Linked DNA regions of Mus musculus: all the other regions are reported to be linked to region 4. The links are microRNA targets in miRTarBase. Many come from high-throughput screens and were not tested one by one. Region 4 holds a microRNA gene; each other region holds the end of a gene's coding sequence.
Evidence for each region. Region 4 holds the annotated microRNA mmu-miR-509-5p (UACUCCAGAAUGUGGCAAUCAU, at 3,695-3,716, opposite strand). A microRNA usually pairs through its seed, bases 2 to 8, with sites in the 3' UTR of a target mRNA and lowers its output. Matches are read on the target gene's strand: a 7mer-m8 pairs with bases 2 to 8, a 7mer-A1 pairs with bases 2 to 7 and ends in A, and an 8mer does both.

Region 1: the mRNA of Klhl7 is a reported target of mmu-miR-509-5p. Seed matches in the 3' UTR shown: 7mer-m8 at 2,008-2,014.
Region 2: the mRNA of Cflar is a reported target of mmu-miR-509-5p. Seed matches in the 3' UTR shown: 7mer-m8 at 4,371-4,377 and 7mer-m8 at 5,092-5,098.
Region 3: miRTarBase lists Chrnb4 as a target of mmu-miR-509-5p. Seed matches in the 3' UTR shown: 7mer-m8 at 3,795-3,801 and 7mer-m8 at 2,285-2,291.

The regions. Positions count from the first base shown.
Region 1 is chr5:24,159,161-24,164,367 of GRCm38, forward strand. It overlaps Klhl7 (kelch-like 7), which reads left to right. Exons shown (of 11, transcript NM_026448.3): 11 at 287-2,071. The coding sequence ends at 570. Among named protein-coding and RNA genes, the nearest start is that of Nupl2, 3.2 kb to the right of the region's middle.
Region 2 is chr1:58,752,901-58,758,107 of GRCm38, forward strand. Cflar (CASP8 and FADD-like apoptosis regulator) reads left to right here. Exons shown (of 10, transcript NM_207653.6): 10 at 884-5,207. The coding sequence ends at 1,022. Among named protein-coding and RNA genes, the nearest start is that of Gm39646, 36 kb to the right of the region's middle.
Region 3 is chr9:55,026,037-55,031,036 of GRCm38, forward strand. It overlaps Chrnb4 (cholinergic receptor, nicotinic, beta polypeptide 4), which reads right to left. Exons shown (of 6, transcript NM_148944.4): 6 at 2,120-4,209. The coding sequence ends at 4,069. Chrna3 (cholinergic receptor, nicotinic, alpha polypeptide 3) reads right to left here and starts at 526. Exons shown (of 6, transcript NM_145129.3): 1 at 295-526. The coding sequence starts at 358.
Region 4 is chrX:68,006,455-68,011,661 of GRCm38, forward strand. It overlaps Mir509 (microRNA 509), which reads right to left and starts at 3,725; the gene lies at 3,651-3,725.

The DNA of each region.
Region 1 (5,207 bases), not on the chromosome of region 4:
TTAATTTTCTTTTCCAGGATGGAACATTTGTAGGAAATGTGTAGGGTTTATTTTGTTGTTGTTGTTGTTGTTTGTTTTTTTTACTTTGTAGAAAAAATATTTCTGAAAATTTCTCAAGAATAAATATTTAGGTAGTGGGCGTGTGGGTAATGATCATAAAGCTCTTATATCCTTTCTATGTGGTTAACAATTTTATTTTGAAACTAAAATATAAAACTTTTAGAAACTATGAAGAGATCCAGCAATCACTAATAAAATAAAGTTCTCATATGTTGTTCTTTTGAAGGTGGTCTGGACAATGTGGAATATTACGATATCAAGTTAAATGAATGGAAGATGGTGTCACCGATGCCATGGAGGGGTGTCACGGTGAAGTGTGCAGCAGTTGGCTCTGTCATCTATGTCCTGGCAGGTTTTCAGGGTGTAGGCAGATTGGGGCATATCCTTGAGTATAATACTGAAACAGATAAGTGGATCGCCAACTCAAAAGTCCGGGCTTTCCCAGTCACAAGTTGTCTAATTTGTGTTGTTGATACTTGTGGAGCAAATGAAGAGACCCTTGAAACATGAATGGTGAATGGACTTCCACTCATCTGAAACTTAGAGATATGGCCACCAGTGGTTTATTCCAAGAGTTCGGTTATGAAGTTCTGATCTGGTATTTTGATAAAGTAAGATTCCAATAAGATAACAGTTTATATTATCTGGATCTCCTTACTTAATTCAAAGATCATATTTTATTTGGCCATCCAAGAACCTATCAGCCAGAAAACGTGAAAAGTTACAAGCACTTCTTGAAAACGTGAATTGCAAATATATAACTGATTGTGGCAGAGTGGGGCATGCTCATCAGAGAAAGAGCCCCAGCTTAGCTCTAGATTCTATTTTCCTAATTGTGTAAGTGCTGTGTAGTTAGGGCTTTTTGTTTCTGTTTGGTCAAGAACTAAGTAATCGTATGAATTATAGTCGGAGATGGTAAACTCTGATAGAGTAACTGTAATAGTGTTATGTATTTTGCTTGTCTTCATTATTTCATTTAGTGCCAAATTATTCCATTTTAAAGTAAGCAAAAATGGCTTAAACATACACACTTTCTCACAAAACTTCTCAGATTTTTGGGACTTAACTGTACCCAGTTACTCATGAAATAATATATTCAGTCCAATTAAATGAAATATTATACATTTTTGTATAAAATATTAAGCTTAGCACCCATCATTAATTCATATGGTTTTACTCAGCAGTGTAAAAAGCACTCTATGTCCTCATTCTCTATGCGAGAGCCAATCAGTAGGAACGATTGACCAACAGAAGAAAAGCTGTTGGAAGAAATTTCTAGATTACTAGAAAAGCACTGATAATTGTAGCCCAGTAGCATATGGATTTTAAAAAATACAGTTTTCTTTTCTCCTAGCAGAACATGTTAGAGGTAACTGAGTTTTCTCTAAAAGTTTTGTAATAATTGGCATTAAGTATATCATTATTCATTGCTTTTATGTGGACAACAAATTACCAAACGGCCTATTAATTTTTCTCAGTAATGTTTTGCCCTTTGACTATGTATGAAATGTGCCATGTTAAACTGTCAATCAATGTTTTTATCTGATATTAAATATTTTTAACTTAAATAGATTTGCTTTGTTTATTCATTCTACGTGTGTTCATTAATATTTCTTAAATTTGTGAAAGTTTCCATTTAAAATTTTTCTCTGAATGGAAGTTAGAACAGACTCTAAAATGTTTAAATTAAAAGTGAAGTTGAAAAGTGACAGGATTTATCTGTCAAGTTCTTATGTATAGACAGCTTTATTGAGATGTAATTCATAAGCATACAGTTCACCCATTTAAACTGTACTAATGTAGTGGCTTTTAGTATGTCTATATGCGGGGCTGGTGAGATGGCTCAGTAGTTATGAGCACTGACTGCTCTTCCAAAGGTCCTGAGTTCAATTCCCAGCAACCACATGGTGGCTCATAACCATCCGTAACAAGACCTGACGCCCTCTTCTGGAGTGTCTGAAGACAACTACAGTGTACTTACATATAATAAATAAATCTTTTTTAAAAAGTATGTTTATATGCACTGTGTACAGTCATCATTGTATTTTTCAAGTGTTTTCATAACTCCTCCGAAAGAAGCCCTGTACTTACTGTAGTCACTCCTATTCCCATGTGCTAGCTTGCTACACTGCTACAAACTACTGCTTGCTTAATGGATTAAACCAACCAATATATTTTCACTGTTTAGGAGGCCAGATGTCTCAAATCTGGCTTTTGGAGGATTGGGCAAAACCGCCACACACCCCATTCCCACCCCTGCTGCTGGTTGCCAGTAGTCCTTGACATTTACTTCTTAGTTTATACCTAGAGCTGCACTGCAGTCTTACACCTTCATCTTCTCATGGTCATTTCTTTCTCTTGTGTAACTATTTTCACTTAGTTCTTTTGTAAATAGCATTTATTTGAACCATTCTTTTTTTTAACTTACATATGAATGAATATATACCATCTGTATGCCTGGTGCCCACAGAAGTCAGAAAATGGGGTCAGATCTCCCGAATCTGGTTGTGAACCACCACGTGGGTTCTAGAAACTGAACCCAGGTACTTAGAAGAACAGCTAGTGCCCTTAACCTTGGAGCCATCCCCCGCTGGCCTGGAGTTAAGATACCCACCCTCTGCTTTCTAAATGCTGTGACTAAAAGTATGCACCACCACATCAGAAGGATTCTAGTACTTTGTCTTAAACCACTTACATCTGCAAAGATCCTGTTTTCAAGTAGAAATGCATTCTGGAGTTCTGGATAGATAGGAATTTTGTGAGGAACACTATTTAACCCAGTACACTCTTACAAACTCCAGCCTTAGACAACCTCCACCTCTAGACTGTAAAATGATCTTTTATTCACTTGATGTAATTGTCATCTCAGGCTCACTGCCTCTGTCTGCTAACCTAGGTGAGGTCCTGGAAGCTTCCAGCCTCCATACAATCTTATCTAGGCCTAGAATGTTTTCATCTTTTGAGACTTACTGCTGAACAAGCTCACCCTTTCTAGCTCTTTCTATACTCTGGCTGGTTCAACTTAGCTGTTCTGGCTCAAACTGATTCAATCTGGCTTCTCAGTCTCTGACTGTTGTAAATATTTTTATGTAAGATGTTGAAATTTGCACTATTTTAAAATGTGGCTATTTGAGCTGGGCAGTGGTGGCACACGCCTTTAATCCCAGCACTTGGGAGGCAGAGGCAGGCGGATTTCTGAGTTCGAGGCCAGCCTGGTCTACAGAGTGAGTTCCAGGACAGCTTAGGGCTACACAGAGAAACCCTGTCTCGAAAAAACGAAAAAAAAAAATGTGGCTATTTGAAGCTGGAGAGGTGGCACTGTATCTTGCAGAAGGACCTGGGTGTGGTCCTTTGCATCCACTCGGAGGCTCACGATCATCTACAACTCTAGTTTAGGGGGATTCAGTGCCCTCTTTCTAGCTACCTCAAGTACCAGGCACACAATGAAGCACATGCATACATGCAGGAAAACATGAGAAAAATTGTTAACATAGCTAAATTTTCTGATGACAAAATACTCATTTATTACACTGTAATCACACTGATAGAGCAGTTACCCCTGTAGAATAGGCAGCACTGTTAAAATATTTTGACTATATTAGCTGTTCTTTTTAGGCTGCTGATTAACTAGAACACATAACATTTTATAAAGCTTTCTATAAAGTTCCTTTACTCCTAATAACCTGTATCATGTTCCTAATAAGAACACGTCTTCCCCCAAACCAGAACTATCATTCACAATTCTAAAGGATAATGGGTAAAAGTAAACTATTCAAAGTATATTACTTCATATACAAATTGCTTTGTATTCAAATTTCTTTGTATATAAAGTACATTTCATTACTTTTTCAAAAAGTTCCTTTCCTATAATGTACTCTGCTTTCATTTCAGTAGATACTGGGTTTGTCAGTGTTCTGTCCTTTGAAGTGCTTTATTTTGATGATACATGGGTTTTACTTTTGAGAATCACAATTTGAGTATGAATGTTTAGTAGACAAAACTTGTTCCATATTATAACAGTAACTGTGGCTCTGTGGTCTAGTTTTTAAAACTTGTCATTATAGTGTCATGAAAATGTTTGAGTCATGAGGCATTTTAATACACCAATATCAAAATGTGCCATTTAATAAAGTTATTCAACTAAATCTATATTCTTTTTTGACTGTTTGCATTAGGTAAAATCCAATTTACTCCATCCAATATGGCACCAAACCAGTTCTCATTAAACTTCAGTAAACTGGTATTATGAAAGAGCATTTTGTGGGTTGCAGCATTAAATCCTGATTGATCCTTTTGAACCCCTTAATTTTTCCTCCAAAGATTTTTAAGGTTTCACTCTGATATTACCAGTTTTACTCCTTTTAAACATAACTCAATTTGTTGTGGGCGGGTGTGAAGATTCAAAATAGTGGCAGTTCTCACTTTGGTAAGCTGAGGCAGGAGGATGACTGAGACCATGCTAGATTACACCTACATATAGAGCTATCTAGATTGTGTTTCCTATTACTATGACAAACCCTGGTAAAAGCAACCTCAGAAGCATGTGTTGATTCTGGCTCACAGATTAAGGTACAGTCTAGCACAGCTTGGACGGGATTTCAACAGGAGCATGAGACAGCTGGGCACATTGTATTTGCAGTCTAGCAACAGCAATGGATGTTCAACTTGAATTTGCCTTTTTATTCAGTGTGTGCCCACTCCTTTGAGAATGCAGTCCTCATTAAGGGTACATCTTTCCAGTTCAACCTTTGTGAAAGCATCTTCACAGACATGCTCAAAGGTGTGTATCTATGGGGATCTAAGTCTGACCCTCCAAGTCCAGAGATTTGTGTCTATGGTGATTCTAAAAGTAATCAAGTTGACAGTATTTACCATCACAAGTGTTAGGATTACTAGTTAGAGTTTTGCTTTTGATCTCTCCATCCTCTAGCATAACCAAAATATAAAATGAGACTCAAGGTATACTTTGAGTCTGAGGAGTCTCTAAGCTGCCTTCAACTCTTAGTTTATCCCCATTCTCCAATTTTAATTTCCAAGAGCAATTTCATTTCATTGTTATATAATGTACTTGTTTTATACTGATACAGGGTCCTGCATGAGAACTGTAAAGATAATAAATGAAACGTAGTGGGTGTACGGTTTTGATC
Region 2 (5,207 bases), not on the chromosome of region 4:
AAGATGGATATCACCACCATGCTTGGTCCGATGGACTTCGACAGGACAGAGACTTTCCCTTCCCAGTTCAAATTGCTTTGGGGGGCAGGGGTGGGAATGAATAAAGACTCAGCACAGCTTATGACTACTTTACATTAGTCAGCTTATATTTTGAATATATTTATTTTATTCTCCTAACATAAATTGAGCTTTATATAGGTGCGTATTATAGAAAAAGCACAGCGTATGCACTGTAGGGTTCAGTGTTGGCCTGGTTTCAGACATGGTCCCACTGATGGTCTTGGTTTTCAGAGGTAATGGGATGACTGCAAACATTTTGGATATTTATTAGAAGGAGGAAACCATCACTGCCCTAGCTTCTAGTAAATGGAATGAAGCTACAATGTTCAAGTATAGGACTAACTGGCCCTTTCAAATTTGCTCCCTAATTACAAAGGATAACAATGTTGCTTAGCTGTCAGTCAAATGCTGAATTCCAAGGACTCGGGTGCTGTCTTAGCTTTCTCAGTCTCCTCAGTGGTGGCTCAGCAGGGCTTGGGGGGGGTGTGCTTGGAGGGGTGCAACATTTCAGAGTCGGTGCTCCAGGGACAGGGGTAGCATTGGCCTTTATAGTCTTTCTCTCTTTGCATGGGGTTATCAGGTGGCTTGTCCCCTAGCTGGTGTGTTCTCAGAGTAAAATTCCACTGTCTTTGTGGAAGGAGACTCTGGCCTCTGGGCCAGAGTACTGCCAATTGTTTGGATTATTTGCTAAGCAATGCACAGAGCATTTAAAAGGATGAGTTTCAAAGGACTTTCATACCTGTTAGCTGACTCTCCCCTAATGACAATCTGTCTTCTCTTTGGTGTTTGCACATCTTTAAACTTTGCCTTTCTCTTCCTCTAGGAGACGCCCACTCGTGGACCTCCACGTTGAACTCATGGACAAAGTGTATGCGTGGAACAGTGGTGTTTCGTCTAAGGAGAAATACAGCCTCAGCCTGCAGCACACTCTGAGGAAGAAACTCATCCTGGCTCCTACGTGAGAACCCCAGACCGTTGGTGTTCTTGGTATATCATCCAGGGTGGCGGCTTGGAGCAGAGCTTGGCGGTTACGGCTGCTTCTGGCTGCTTCTGGCTCTGCCGTGAGTCCTGGCCTAGGGTTCTCCTGTGCACAGGCATGAGCCGTAACCCTGTGCCTGGGAAACGTCTCACTCCCGCCGCCGTGCCTTTACCTCTCTAAACTTCCCTACTTACATTCCTTAGTCGGATGTTTTGCCAGAGTGTGGAGAACAGTAAGACATAAACCTATTGTTTGTTTGTTTTTTTGGGGGGGAGGTTATCTACCAAGTTATACCAAGTTATTGTATGGGTGTATAGTGTATAGTGGTTCAAGATTTGACACTGAATGTAACTTGAGACTTACCTGAGTTTGTCATGCGACTGGGTAAATTGTTTCTATGGCACATCTAATCATTTAATAAGTAATTACCTCATTAAGTACCCATTGCTTCAGGACTTTCACATTGGCCACCAATTTCTGTGACCCAGCTCCACATTTATATTCTCTTTCTGCAAAACCAAATTTCATTATGTCTGTTTAATATCTACAGTCTAATGCTTTGTAAGACATCTAGATAGAAAAATAGTTACCCATGAGCACAGGAGGGCTGGCCTGACCCTCACCAGCTGTGCAGTGGCTTCGGTGAAGGAGAATGAGCCCTACTCCTTGAAGGTTGTAGTGCTTGGGAGAGCAGTCTGTACCTTGCCTGGGCAGCACAGTAGAGCCAGCCCCAAGAACACAACAGTGAGTGGGGGAGCTTGCCCTGGTTGGCTCAGGATCAGGAACAGGAGGGATGACCAACTTGGGGCTTTGAGGTGGCCCACCCCAGCATCCATATCATCTGTGAACTGCCAGAGCCTGTGAAGGGGCGGGTCCTGTAGAACTAAGGCTGCAGGATCTCCATGACACAGGGCAACAACAGGGTATCTGAGAAGGGTCCCCGTGAGGGTCCAGTATTTATAGTGCACCAGAAGCCAGAGGCCTCGGATCAGACAATGACCCATTGCACTGAGTAAAGATGTAAGTGAATGAGTGAAGATGTGTGGGCACACGGAAATACTGAGGGACACACACAAGCTTTTATGGAGATGTTTGTTTGTTTGTTTGTTTGTTTTTTGTTTCTTTGGCAGGAACAGATTGCAAGGGCAGAGAGTAGATAAGGAAGCTGGAGACATGAGTGGGGTTGGGTGCATGATATAGAATTCACAAAGAATCAAAAAAAAAAACTTAAAAAAATGGTTGCCTAGTGAGATTACTTATTTATAATTTATATAGCTAGCTTTTTTTGTAACAAGAGCAAATAGAATTTATTTATTTATTAAATACATTTGAAGCAAGGTTGTAACGTACGTAGCAAAACTCCTGCCATACCAGTACTAGCGTGGGGGAGGCCAAAGGATCACATGTTCTGAACCAGTCTAGGTATGTAGTAGCTGTGTAATGAGATTGTGTGTTTGCCTGCTTGTGAGAGAGAGGAGAGAGATAAATTCCAAAACATGTAACATGGTATAATTTTATTAGCTGCTATAAAACATGGTTATTTTACTTTGTATACTCTTGAGTAACCTAATAGTATAATCTATCTGTATTTGAGGATAGTAGTCAAACCCCTCCCCTCAGGGTTTAGGGACCTGTTCTGAAGAGGAGGCAGAAAGACTGTGAGAGCCAGAGGTGGTGAAGGGCTCCAGGGAAGCCGCATCTTCCAGACAGAACAGGACCCGTGCACATGTGGCTGACAGCACAGGTTCAAACCAGACAGAGTCCCAACACTGAGAAAGGGAGACGAAGTTGTGGGCCATTGTGCTCACACCTGAGCACAGTGGGAATCAGGAGTGTTCAACCCTCAGGGTTGTCTCGTCAGAGGGAGAGATGTATAACCTGTTTCTGCCCAGAAGGCAGGAACAATGTGATTCGTAGCTGGTGGTCTCTGCACTATTTGTACCACCAAGCCACACCGCCTCCCTCAGACTCAAGTTCATGTCAGTCAATCGGCAGTCTGCCCTCCCTGCCAACCTCATCAGGACCACTGTTTTCCCTGAGCCTGCTTCCTCAGTTAATTCAGAGAACCTATCTGTATGCAAGATGTTGCTTGTACTCTACAAGAGTTTCAGTATAGCCATCTCCTAAGCTTTTCTGTACACACAGGACTGATTAATTATCACCAGAAACTATTTTGAAATTGTGCTGTGCCTAAAATAAACTACTTGGTGCTAGACTCCAGAAGTTTGGACAAAAACTGTCCACTGAGTCACGTTGAGACAGACTTTCTTCTTGCTTCTCTTGGATCAACACCCTGCTGGTTAAGGTGTTTGCAGAGATCCCCACGAAGGGGAGGTTGTGCAGTAGATAGCTGCTGAGAAAGGGAAGTCAGCTTTCTCCAGTGGAGTGTTATTGGACATATCCATTACCCGTCAGGGCAGGCCCCAGACCCAGGAGTAATTGGCTAACATAAAATGGACTCTGTGTGCTTGTCTTTTTATTGATTTTCTTTCTTTCTTTCTTTCTTTCTTTCTTTCTTTCTTTCTTTCTTTCTTTCTTTCTTTCTTTCCTTCCTTCCTTCCTTCCTTCCTTCCTTCCTTCCTTGTTTTGTTTTGTTTTTGTTTTTTTGAGACAGGGTTTCTCTGTATAGCCCTGGCTGTCCTGGAACTCACTTTGTAGACCAGGCTGACCTCGAACTAACTCTCTCTCTCTCTCTCTCTCTCTCGTTTGTTTGCTTTGCTGTTCAAGTTTTTTCGTTTTTTGAGAGAGAGAGAGGGAGCGCAAGAGAACATGAAGTTATATGAGTGGGGGTGGGTGAAATGGGGAGGATAGGGAAGAGCAGGGAGGGAAAAAGAGCATCCCACGGGACTGTTTCAAGGACCAAGTGTGAGGGGCTTTACAACCATTTTTGAGCTGTGCTCTTAATTAGTTATATCATTAATTGTATCATTAGACCACAGTGTAACGGGGCTGTTTTGGAAGGACTGAGTCAAACTTTGAAAAGCTGATGGGACTTGGCAGGTGGTGATAGAGAAGAGAGCGTAAGTCAAGGGAAGGAGCCAACGGGAGCTGCACAGTGAGCTTTAGAGACCTCAAGAGTGACTTTTAGCTGGGGCAGATGTGCACAGTGATGGTGTCAGTGATGGATGGTGTCAGGAGGTGGATGTGGTCCTGGTGTGGAGAAGGCCCCACTTTTTTCCCTTAGCTAGTTGTCTAGTAAGATATTTCTCGGGGCTGGTGAGATGGCTCAGTGGGTAAGAGCACCCGACTGCTCTTCCAAAGGTCCAGAGTTCAAATCCCAGCAACCACATGGTGGCTCACAACCATCTGTAACAAGATCTGACTCCCTCTTCTGGAGTGTCTGAAGACAGCTACAGTGTACTTACATATAATAATAAATAAGTCTTTAAAAAAAAAAAGATATTTCTCCTTACTTTCATAGTAGGATCTTTGGTTACTTCTTTGTTCCTTTTGTAGACAGAATTGAGATTTTTGTTTTTCACCGACTTTGGGGTTTTTTCTGAAATATTTTAGACATATTAAAAGATAATTATGTATGGAAGACAATGAATACCTGTTTTAAATAAAATGTTCTAAACTTGTATGTGAATACTCATAATATAGTTCTTTAAGGCACTGATCTTTAAGTGATATATACCCTAAAATATTTCAAACTAATAGTTAGCCAAGCATATGGTTAAGTTTATAGTTATGATGGGCTACCAAGAGATTCTGTCACTATTAACATTTTATGTATAAATAAGAACATATATTAATTAACAGGCATTTAAACACTTGGTCTCCAGGTGTGCTGTTTGAAAGGTGTGGCCTCGCTAGAGGAACTGTTACTGGGGGACAGGGACAGGCTTTGAGGTTTCAAAGGCTTATACCATTTCCAGTTTGCTCTGTATTTATTGAATATACTATTGTATAATGTATATCATATTGTATATATTGTAATATATATAAAAATATTTATTGGAGGTAAAATGAGAAAACTGAGAAGCATGTATTCCACATGTGTGCTCTGTGGAGGACATTTCATATTCAGATTGTAACCGTAGATGTTATGGCTGGAGTTCTAACTCTCACAGCTATGGAGATAATATACAGTAGGAGGTAGCTGAGTGGTGAACAAGAGACAGAATCAGCCAGGCATGGCAGTTCCTACAGAGGCAGGAGGATTGCC
Region 3 (5,000 bases), not on the chromosome of region 4:
CAGAGGGCCGGTTCTGGGCTAGTCTCGAGCCTCAGCTAACTAGCAGGTTTGGGAACAAAGGAGTAGCCAAGGGACTCAGTGGTAGGGACTGGGATGCGCGTGCACAGGCAGAACCGTGGGGCCACGCTGAGATTCAAGGCAAGTGGGTGCCTAGACTTCTAAGGCTCTGGTGGTCAAAGTCGTGCGGAAAACAGAGCCCTGGGCTGCAGCCTCGCACAGGAGACCCACCCGCCGCCCGATGGCCACCGCCCGCAGCCAGCCTAGGCTCCGGACCCGACCGCTCCCCGCTTGTACCTGGCAGCAGCATCAGCACCAGCATCAGCATGGACAGCGGCGGCGGGGGCAGCACAACACCCATGTCTGAAGACCGCATGGACAGGACCGGAGCCACTCTGGTGCTGACCACCACCGAAGCACAGCTAAGCTAGCACGGAGAGCGCGGGGTTCCTCCCGGCTTCGCGCCGCCGAGCTCCCGCGCACTTGCGCGCCCGAGTGCACGAACCCCAGGCAGGCAAGCGCTGCTAGCAGCCGCAGGGCGGGGAGGCTGGGAGGCCAAGGCAGGAGCTGCGTCCGTCGTGGGAGGGGCGTCGGGCCACGGTCTTCTGCGTCGATGCCTCGATGCCTCGCCCAGAGCCTCCCTGGACTCTTGAAACCTCTAGGCTACAGACCAGTCGGGATCAGGCATTGTCACCATGGCAGGAAGAAAGGGTCAAATTTCTGGCCCTGGCTTTCTGGCAGGTACAGCTCTGAGGAGGGCTGGGGGCCTATCACATGTGCCAGCTCTAGTGTAACTCAAAAGTGGACCGTGGAAGTTTATGCTCTTAAAGTAACTATTTTCAGCACGATGCTGTGTGTGTGTGTGTGTGTGTGTGTGTGTGTGTGTACACAGCATACAGTTAAGAGGGACTCGATGGCTTGGGATGGAAACAATATTGGCAAGGAGTTCCCCATGGTGGACGCAAGGGTGATGATATCTGGGAGGTTTTATATTATTTTCGCTACTTTCTTTAGACTATGCTAGAGATGCTCCTTGAGAAAACAGACAAATGCTGATGGTTATAGCTCAGCAGTAGAGTGCTTGTCTAGCACACCTAAGGTCCAGGCTGCGATTCCCAGCAGAGTAAATAAATACTTTTATAAGTAAAGTTGGAATAACTAGAGGATCTGGCTTCCCATAGTGACCGTCATAGATTTCCTTTTGTGGCGGTTATAGATTTCCCTTGGTCTCACTGCCAGCTGCAAACCCATGTGTCCCAGGAATCGACGGTGACAAGGTAGGTGTTCTGGGGTCTCTTGACCTCTCTGGCCATCCACCAGGGATGGCTTAGCCCATGAAGGCTTCCTTGATGGTTCTTGGGGACCTTGTAAGGGTGATGGAGCAGTACTAAGCTGGATCATGGTGATGAACATACTAAAATTCATGGTATTGTCCAGTGCACAATGAGTGAATTTATACTTCAATAAAAGTGATCATTTTAAAAAGAGTTTTGTTTATTGTGTGTGGGGGGGGGCGTGCACACACATGGAAGCCTGAGAGGAAGTATGTGTACATGCACACACATAGAAGCCCTAGGACAGCTTTGTGAAGTTGATTCTCTCTTAGAGTCTTTATAAGGATTCTAGGGATGAGATTCGGGCCTCCAGGCTTGAGAGGCAAGTGCCTTCGCTCACTGAGTCATCTTGCTGACCCAATGAAGTTGTTTTTAAAGACCCAGCATATGGGCTGGTGAGATGGCTCAGTGGGTAAGAGCACCCGACTGCTCTTCCAAAGGTCCGGAGTTCAAATCCCAGCAACCACACAGTGGCTCACAACCATCTGTAACGAGATCTGACTCCATCTTCTGGAGTGTCTGAAGACAGCTACAATGTACTTACATATAATAAATAAATCTTTAAAAAAAAAAGACCCAGCATAAAGAAGCCAGTATCTACAGTATCTAATGGTTACACCCTGAAGGATTCCGTTTAAGCAGCAGGCTTGAAGATACTGAGCTACAGCAGTGAAGAAAAGGTAAGGGTGGCCAGGGCTAAGTGTGCAGGGGTTGGGTCTATGCAGAGTAGCCAAGTTTGAGTGACATCTTTCTTTTGTCCTAGTGTCAATGATGGTTATACAAATGTTAAACTTTAAAGAAGTCAACTTTATTGTAGGTTAATTCTAAAAACAAAACACTTTAAAATATTCTCCCTCAGGGGCTGGAGACTCAGCAGTCAAGAAGAGCATTGGCTGTTCTTCCAGAAGACTCAGGTTTGATTCCCACCACATACGTGGTGGCTCAAGTCTGTAACTCCAGTTCCAGGGGATCTAGTGCCCTTTCCTGGCCTCTGGGGGGGGGGGTACTAGCATGTACGTGGTACACACACATACATGAAGGCAAAACATCCATACACATAAAATAATAAATTTTTAAAATCTTCCCCTTGTAGGCATGAAATAATACCCTGTGTAAAGATTACCTTTATATTATTCAAACGCTGATTTCTGTGCCCCCACATTTGATTGTAATTCTTATTCTGAGAATTTCCAGTCTCAATGTTATGTAAACATTGCTCCCCAATTATTCCCTGATTGGTCAATGGCTAAGCAGGGGAGAGACTAGGTCTGGACTTCCTCCCATCCAGGGAAGGGGGCAGGAGGAGAGTGGGGATTCTCTTTGGGTAGAGAGTCCAGGAGATGCCATAAGAAAACACCTGGAGCCCAGAGAGCCAGATCAGTACTAAAATGCAAGTATCACTGGGGTTTTGACTGGGAGGTAGCCAGATCAGTTTAGAGGATTAAAATAGATAATGCTGCTCGTTGTTGTGCCTTTAAAGCTTCTTAAATAAATACAATAGTCCAGTCAAAATTATTTGGGAGCTAGCTGGGTAAAAGGAAAACAGCAACATTTTTTTTGTATTGTTTTGTTTGTTTGTTTGTTTTTATGAGACAGGGTTTCTCTGTGTAGCCCTGGCTGTCCTGGAACTCACTCTGTAGACCAGGCTGGCCTCGAACTCAGAGATCCGCCTACCTCTGCCTCCCAAGTGCTGGGACTAAAGGCGTGAACCACCACACCTGGCTCAACATTTATTTTTTTAAAAAAGCCACTAACACTCCTTAATTCCAGAAGTATCTTGAGTGCCAACAGTGGGGCAGGCACCGTGAGAGAAACAGATCAGTGTGAGAAAGAGACAGGCCTGAACCAACCATGGTGTAAAGGCAGAAAGCAGGAAGGGAGCAAGGACAGCTACTCAGAGGGTGTGTGTGTGTGTGTGTGTGTGTGTGTGTGTGTGTGTGTGTGTTTGAAGGAGAGCAGGAGCCATTCATTCAACAAACATTTATTTTGCACCTTCTGTGTGCAGAGCTCTGTCCCAGGCTCTGGAGTGTGAATGTGAATTCACACACTCCGACCCTTGTTGAGCATAGACTTTAATGGGCAAGGTGCTGGTGACTAGTGTGCCACCAACTAAGGACTGCAGCTGCCAATGGAGGACACTCAAGAAAGCTGGAGGTTTAATGTGGTTATGGGAGACGCTGCTTTGGAATGCATGGCTAGGGAAGGCTTGTACAGGAAGTGACATATTGGAACAGAGGATCATGGGAGTAGATCTCTGCCTAGTGCAGACATGTAAAAAGCTTGGGAATTGAGAGTCTGAGGTTTGGGCGGTAGCTACAGCAGATTTGAAGGTTCTAACCTGGAAGAATCTGGAAGTGTGAGAGGAAATGAAAGACGGCCAGGGAATCTAGTGGGTAGCCTGGATTGGAGGGAGATGGATGGGAAGGTGGGCTGGGGTGTGATGGGATGATACACAGCTGTCTGACTCCAGTGCCTGGCACATGGAAGGAAGGAGGCCAGAATGGACTTCAGCCACCTAATCCCCCTCCTTCAAGGGACTTACTCGAAGATATTCAGAGCGATCAGTGCAAGCCACCTATCTCTGTCCTTCTCGTGGCTAGATTGATAGGCTGACTGCCAATAGTCTTAGCTTTACTTAGGGTCTCATTAGCTACAACCCAGATGAAGCAGTAAACTGCCCACTAGGCTGCTCATATCATCCCACTACAACCCAGGGCCCCATAACACGCTGGGTAGCCTAGAGGCCCTTGGAGGGTGCGTGGATCTGGAAGAGGGGTGGCAGGAAGAGCCCCATGGTGCCCAGAATACACACAATCACGAACACCCACAGGAACAGGCGGTCGACGACCATTGCGACGAATTTCCAGTCCTCGATGACCTGCAGACAAACAGAGGCTGGTTACAGGTGCCAAGCACAGGGTAGCTCCTCCCTCTGAGTCACAGCCTCACAGCTGAGCACCATCACACAGGCAGCACGGGGCAGAACTAGGCATTGCTGTGGCAGGTTCTGAATCCCAGGCTGACCTCTGCCGGGCTCCTCATGATGTTCTCCAACCTCACCGGACCTGACTGGGCTTGGGGGAGGGAGTAGCAAAGCCATGGGGACTTGGGCTATACAGACGTCCCTCAGTCTCCTCTGGATCCCCTAGGACCTCTCAACCCTGATGCTGCTCAAAAGCCCACAGAAAGAGTGCAATATTTGCATCTAACTCATATATGCTAGTTAGGTTTTGGTCATCTTGACATATTAGGGTCCTCTGGGAAGAGGGAACGTCAGCAAGTTTGTAGGGTGTTCTTGTGGTTAATGATTGATGTGGAGGACCCAGCCCACTGTGGGTGTTGCTACTCCTGGTCAGGTGGTCCTGGGTTGTATAAGAAAGCAGGCTGAGCCACCCATGAGGAGCAAGCAGGTGAACGGTGTTTCTCCATGGCTTCTGCTTCAGTTCCTGCCTCGAGTTCGGACCTTGGCTCCCCTTGATGAGCTATGACTCAGGATATGTAAGCTAAATTTTCTATACCAAGTTGGTTTTGGTCATGGAGTTCATCTTAGCAATTAAGACATAAGACATCATGAAACCCTCCCCTGTAGTTACAGTGTCTATAGACCTGGTGAGTTCCTAACACAGTGGAAGTGCTATACGAGTTGTCGTTGGTTTGTATTTGGGGGAC
Region 4 (5,207 bases):
GGAGCTCGAAACTGTGTCTGCCTCAGAAGCTGTCCTCTAGGTACCATGGGGGTGTATGCCAACTCTGTGCCCAGGTGACCCGGTGCTGGCACCAACTGGAAGGGACTTGTGACCCCGGTCAGGTTGGATTTTCTGCTTCCCTAATGCTGTCTCAGGTCCCCTGTGATTGGATTGGAATGGAAGTTTTGTTCCACTCACCAGAGGTCCTAAGATCACATGGAGACTCCTCCAGGGACCATGGGGGTGTCCACCGACTCAGCGCCCAAGGTGTCCTGGTACTGGCACCAACCTGGAAGGGATTTGGACCCTGGTCAGGCTGACTTTTCTGCTTCCCTAGTGCTGTCTCAGGTCCTGTGTGATTGGATTGGAACAGAAGTTGTGCTCCATTAACTGGTGGTCCAAAGATTGCATGGAGAGTTCTCTAGAGGACCTTGGGGGTGTCCGCCGAATCCATGCCCAAGTCCTATATTTTTTTAATTGGAGGAAAATCTTTGTAGTTCTGGTACTTTTTTTTTTTTTTTTTTTGTACACTATGCCATGAATTCACATGCAGTGGGCTCCAACAGCTCCGGCTCTTTTCAGTTAGTCCTCACAAAGTGTGCTTCTCTGGATGGCACCCAGGTGCCCTTATCTTTGGCTTCCTTTTTCTTCTTATCATTCTCTTTCACCTGCTTTTGGATGCTGTCTCTGCTTTTTGAGTGCTTGATGTGCTCAATCCACACACTGATCCTCTTGGCCAGAATTTTGCCCTTAACTTGCTTGTTTACAATGATGCCCACGGCATGCTGGGTCACACTGTAGACTCTTCTGGTTTTGCCGTGGTAGCACTTATGTTGTAGACATCCAGGGAATGGGCACTGTTCCTATATATCCTTATTTCTTCCATTTAATACTCTCTGTATAAATTGCTAGCCCATTTTTAATTGGGTAATTTATTTCCTTGACCCTTTGATTTTTGTTGTTGTTGTTCTTTTTATATTCTGGATGGATCATGTATAGCCAAAGGAATCCAAAGCAAAAAGAATAATACTAGAGGGATTGCTATTCTTGACTTCAAGATATAATATAGGTCTCTCTATATAAACCAATGGAATAAAAGATCCAGACAAGAGTTTTAGAAACTATGGCAATCTGGTATTTGAACAAGAGACAAGAATCGTACAGTTTAAAAAAAAAGGTGTTGGGGGGCATTTTCAACAAATGGTGCTGAGAAGACAGGATTCACACCAGGAAAATGAAATTAGAGTTTTATCCATCACCCATTTCGCAAATAAGATCAAATGAGTCAAAGACCTCTATGGGGATCTCAAAACACTAAAACTGCTAGAAGAAAATATAGGCAGTACTGTAAAAGATCTATATAGGTATAGGAAAGGACTTTCTAAACCAGACTTCAGGCTTGCCCTAGCACATAGCATTCTTGGCTTCAGACAACCAACTTATACTCACAGATATAAATATTATACCTAATTCATGTCACTATAATTTCCATGGAACACAAATTCATCTTAACTACCATGCCCTTAAGCTCATTCAAACTCAAATTTAGCACTGTGCAACAGAATGTAGAGTTGGGAAGTCCCTCATATATCTAATGTTGAGGCCTATCGACAAGAATTCAGGTTTTGGGCAACCTCTCATTATAACTCATTGAGAAAATGTATGGATCATGTGCATGTTTAAAAATGTTTAATATGTATAGTTGATATAGAGATAAAATTAAAACTATAGTAACATAAACCTATACAAATATTATAAATGTTAATACATAACTCAAACAAAACCCTGGTATTACAAGTTTTTTCTGTTGCATTTAAATTAAAAATTAAACTTGTAAATTCTACAACTTATGGTAGCACATGACATGAGGAAGGTAAAACTTGTACACACACACACACACATGCACAGCACATGCACACTCACACAAACACAAACACACATGCATATGAACACATGAACACTCACAAATTTATATATCTGCATCTGTCCTCATAATTTCAATTGACATACACTCTACTGAGTGATTAAATAACAATTGGTCATTTTGGTATTACCTTAAACTTCTCTCTCTCCTCATTCTGTGTTTCTATCTCTCTGTTTTTCTCTTATCAGAGTGTTAATAGCAGATGCTACAAAGACACCAAAAATAAAAATGAACATATACCACAATAAGTAAAAAGAAATGAATAGCTAAACATTCCAGAGAATACCTAGACTTACCTGTATTTTAAGAACTCCTCATATATTAATGGCTCACAAATGATCCAAACATATTTTCAAGGGAATGAAAACAGGCTGATTAGTCAAGCAGTTTTTATTTCAAAAATGTGTTTAAAATATTATTTGGTTATATATCACATAACACAGATCATGGGGTTTAGGTATATTTAAGAAGAATCCTTGAAATTGGAGAGGGAATGTAGTATATAGGACTTGTTAAACAGATTAGAACATTGATAGTAAGACTAAGTTCTGTGAGACCAAAAAAGTCTACAGGTGTACAAAAAGTCAAAATAGACAAATTGCGTGCAGGTAATTCCAGTACCTGGGAAGCAGGGTCAGGAGGATCATGAGTTCAGTGTCCACTTGTGACACATATTAAGACCCTGTCTAATAAACACAACAGCATCAATTTTTTTCATAATTAAACAACTTGATTTAAAGGTAAACATATCCCCATATCCTATTGTCTAAATAAGCATATGTAGCAATCACCAGTTCACTCTGCTTCCTTTTGATTACAGAGTTAGTCTTGTACTACACTGGCAAACATCTCTTGGTACATGGCAAACAGAAAGAAACAGAGGGAGTTCAGGTTCAGAAAGAAGCATGTCACTTGTGTGCCATTTGTTTCTCCAGCACCCATATCAAGTAACCCATAAATAACTGGTTGTCTCAATCTGAAGAAAGATTTGACACCATTTTCTGGGTTGTGTGGGCATGAGCACAACATGTGTGCAAATACACATACACATAAAAATAACTATTTAAAATGAGCAAAAATAAAATACTAAGGAGGGAAAAAATATACTGAGCTTATTCTGAGAAGCCAGAGGCAATTGGAAAAGGACCAGAGAACGTTGAAAATAATGAAGACACTAAAAGAAAGGTATAGTATGTTATGGCGACTTTCCCCCTATAATACAACTATTCTGGGAGAGGATACAGAAAGATTACAATTACCAGGCATTCTTATGCTGGTATCCTTAACTCCTTATCAAAAATAGATAATACATGAATAAATAAATTTATTTGTTAAATAGAAATAAAATAAAGTGAATTAATCTAACAAATTTGTTTCTAGAAAACAATTTAGGCTAAATTAATTACAATTGTTGATCACTGAGTTGATCACAAACACATTAAAATCTCTTCTTATTTGTTTTAAATAACTCTGCAGTAGTATTTATGAATTTCAGGAAAAATAGAAAACATCATTTTGAAGTCTTTTTCATAATCCTTTTTATTCCACAGATTTTCTTCTTAGAATTCACTTTTAAAAGTACCCTGATGTAGATCAGGAAGACCAGAGATTGTGGTCAGGACAGAGATAGAGGAAAGTTGTCCCTGTCCTCTAAAGGGACCATTTTTCTGCATGTAATTAAGCAAAACACTTCCCTTACGGTGCCATTGCACATGCCATATATCACATGTGTTACTCCATTACAGAAATGTCAATCACATTTAATTATGCATGATTGCCACATTCTGGAGTAAAGAACCACACACAGTTATCACAATCAACTCTTATTTTTGGTCTAAAAATGATAGTTGGGGAAATTAAATCAATAAACCAGACACTGAAAATAATATATATAAACAATATTTCTATTTCTAAGGCGATGGAGTGCTCATAAAAAAAGGGACCTATCATGACTGCCCTCTGAAAGACCCAACAAGCAGCTGAAATAATCAGATGTAGATATTTGCACCCAACCAGTGGACAGAAACAGCTAACCCATGTTGTTGGATTAGGGAAGGCTGAAAGAAGCTGAGAGCAAACCTGTAGGAGGACCAGCAGTCTCAATTAATCTGGACCTGAGATCTCTGAAACACTGGACCACCAAACAGGCATCATATAACAGCTGATATGAGGCCCCCAATACATATACAGTAGAGGACATCCAGGTCTCTGGTCATTTTCAGATGATGCACCTAACCCTCAAGAGTCTGGAGGCCCCAGAGAGTTTAGAGACCATGAGGGGTGGGTGTGAAAACATCCACGTGGAGACAGGAGGTTGGGAAGGAGATATGGGATGTGGAAGAGTCTGAGGGTGGACGGGGTGGAATAAAATGTGGAGGGTAAACATTAATTAATTAATTAATCAATTTTGTAAATGCACAATTACACATTTACATTAATTAATTAATTAATTAATCAATTTTGTAAATGCACAATTACACATTTACTCAGTTATTAAAAAGAATGAATTTATGAAATTCCTAGGCAAATGGATGGACCTGGAGGGCATCATCCTGAGTGAGGTAACCCAATCACAAAAGAACTCACACAATATGTACTCACTGATAAGTGGATATTAGCCCAGAAACTTAGAATACCCAAGATATAAGTTACAATGTGCTAAACACATGAAACTCAAGAAGAACGAAGACCAAAGTGTGGACACTTTGCCACTTCTTAGAATTGGGAACAAAACACCCATGGAAGGAGTTGCAGAGACAAAGTTTGGAGCTGAGACGAAAGGATGGATCATCTAGAGACTGCCATATCCAGGGATCCATCCCATAATCAGCCTCCAAACGCTGACACCATTGCATACACTAGCAAGATTCTGCTGAAAGGACTCAGATTTAGCTGTCTCTTGTGAGACTATGCCGGGGCCTAGGAAACACATAAGTGGATGCTCACAGTCAGCTATTGGATGGATCACAGGGCCCCCAGTGGAGGAACTAGAGAAAGTACCCGAGGAGCTAAAGGGATCTGCAACCCTATAGGTGGAACAACAATATGAACTACCCAGTACCCCCCAGAGCTCGTGTCTCTAGCTGCATATATGTCAGAAGATGGCCTAGTTGGCCATCATTGGGAAGAGAGGCCCCTTGGTCTTGCAAACATTATATGCCTCAGTACAAGGGAATGCCAGGTCCAAGAAGTGGGAGTGGGTGGGTGGTAGAGTGGGTGGGGGAGTGGGTTGGGAACTTTTGGGATAGCATTGGAAATGTAAATGAAATAAATACCTAATTAA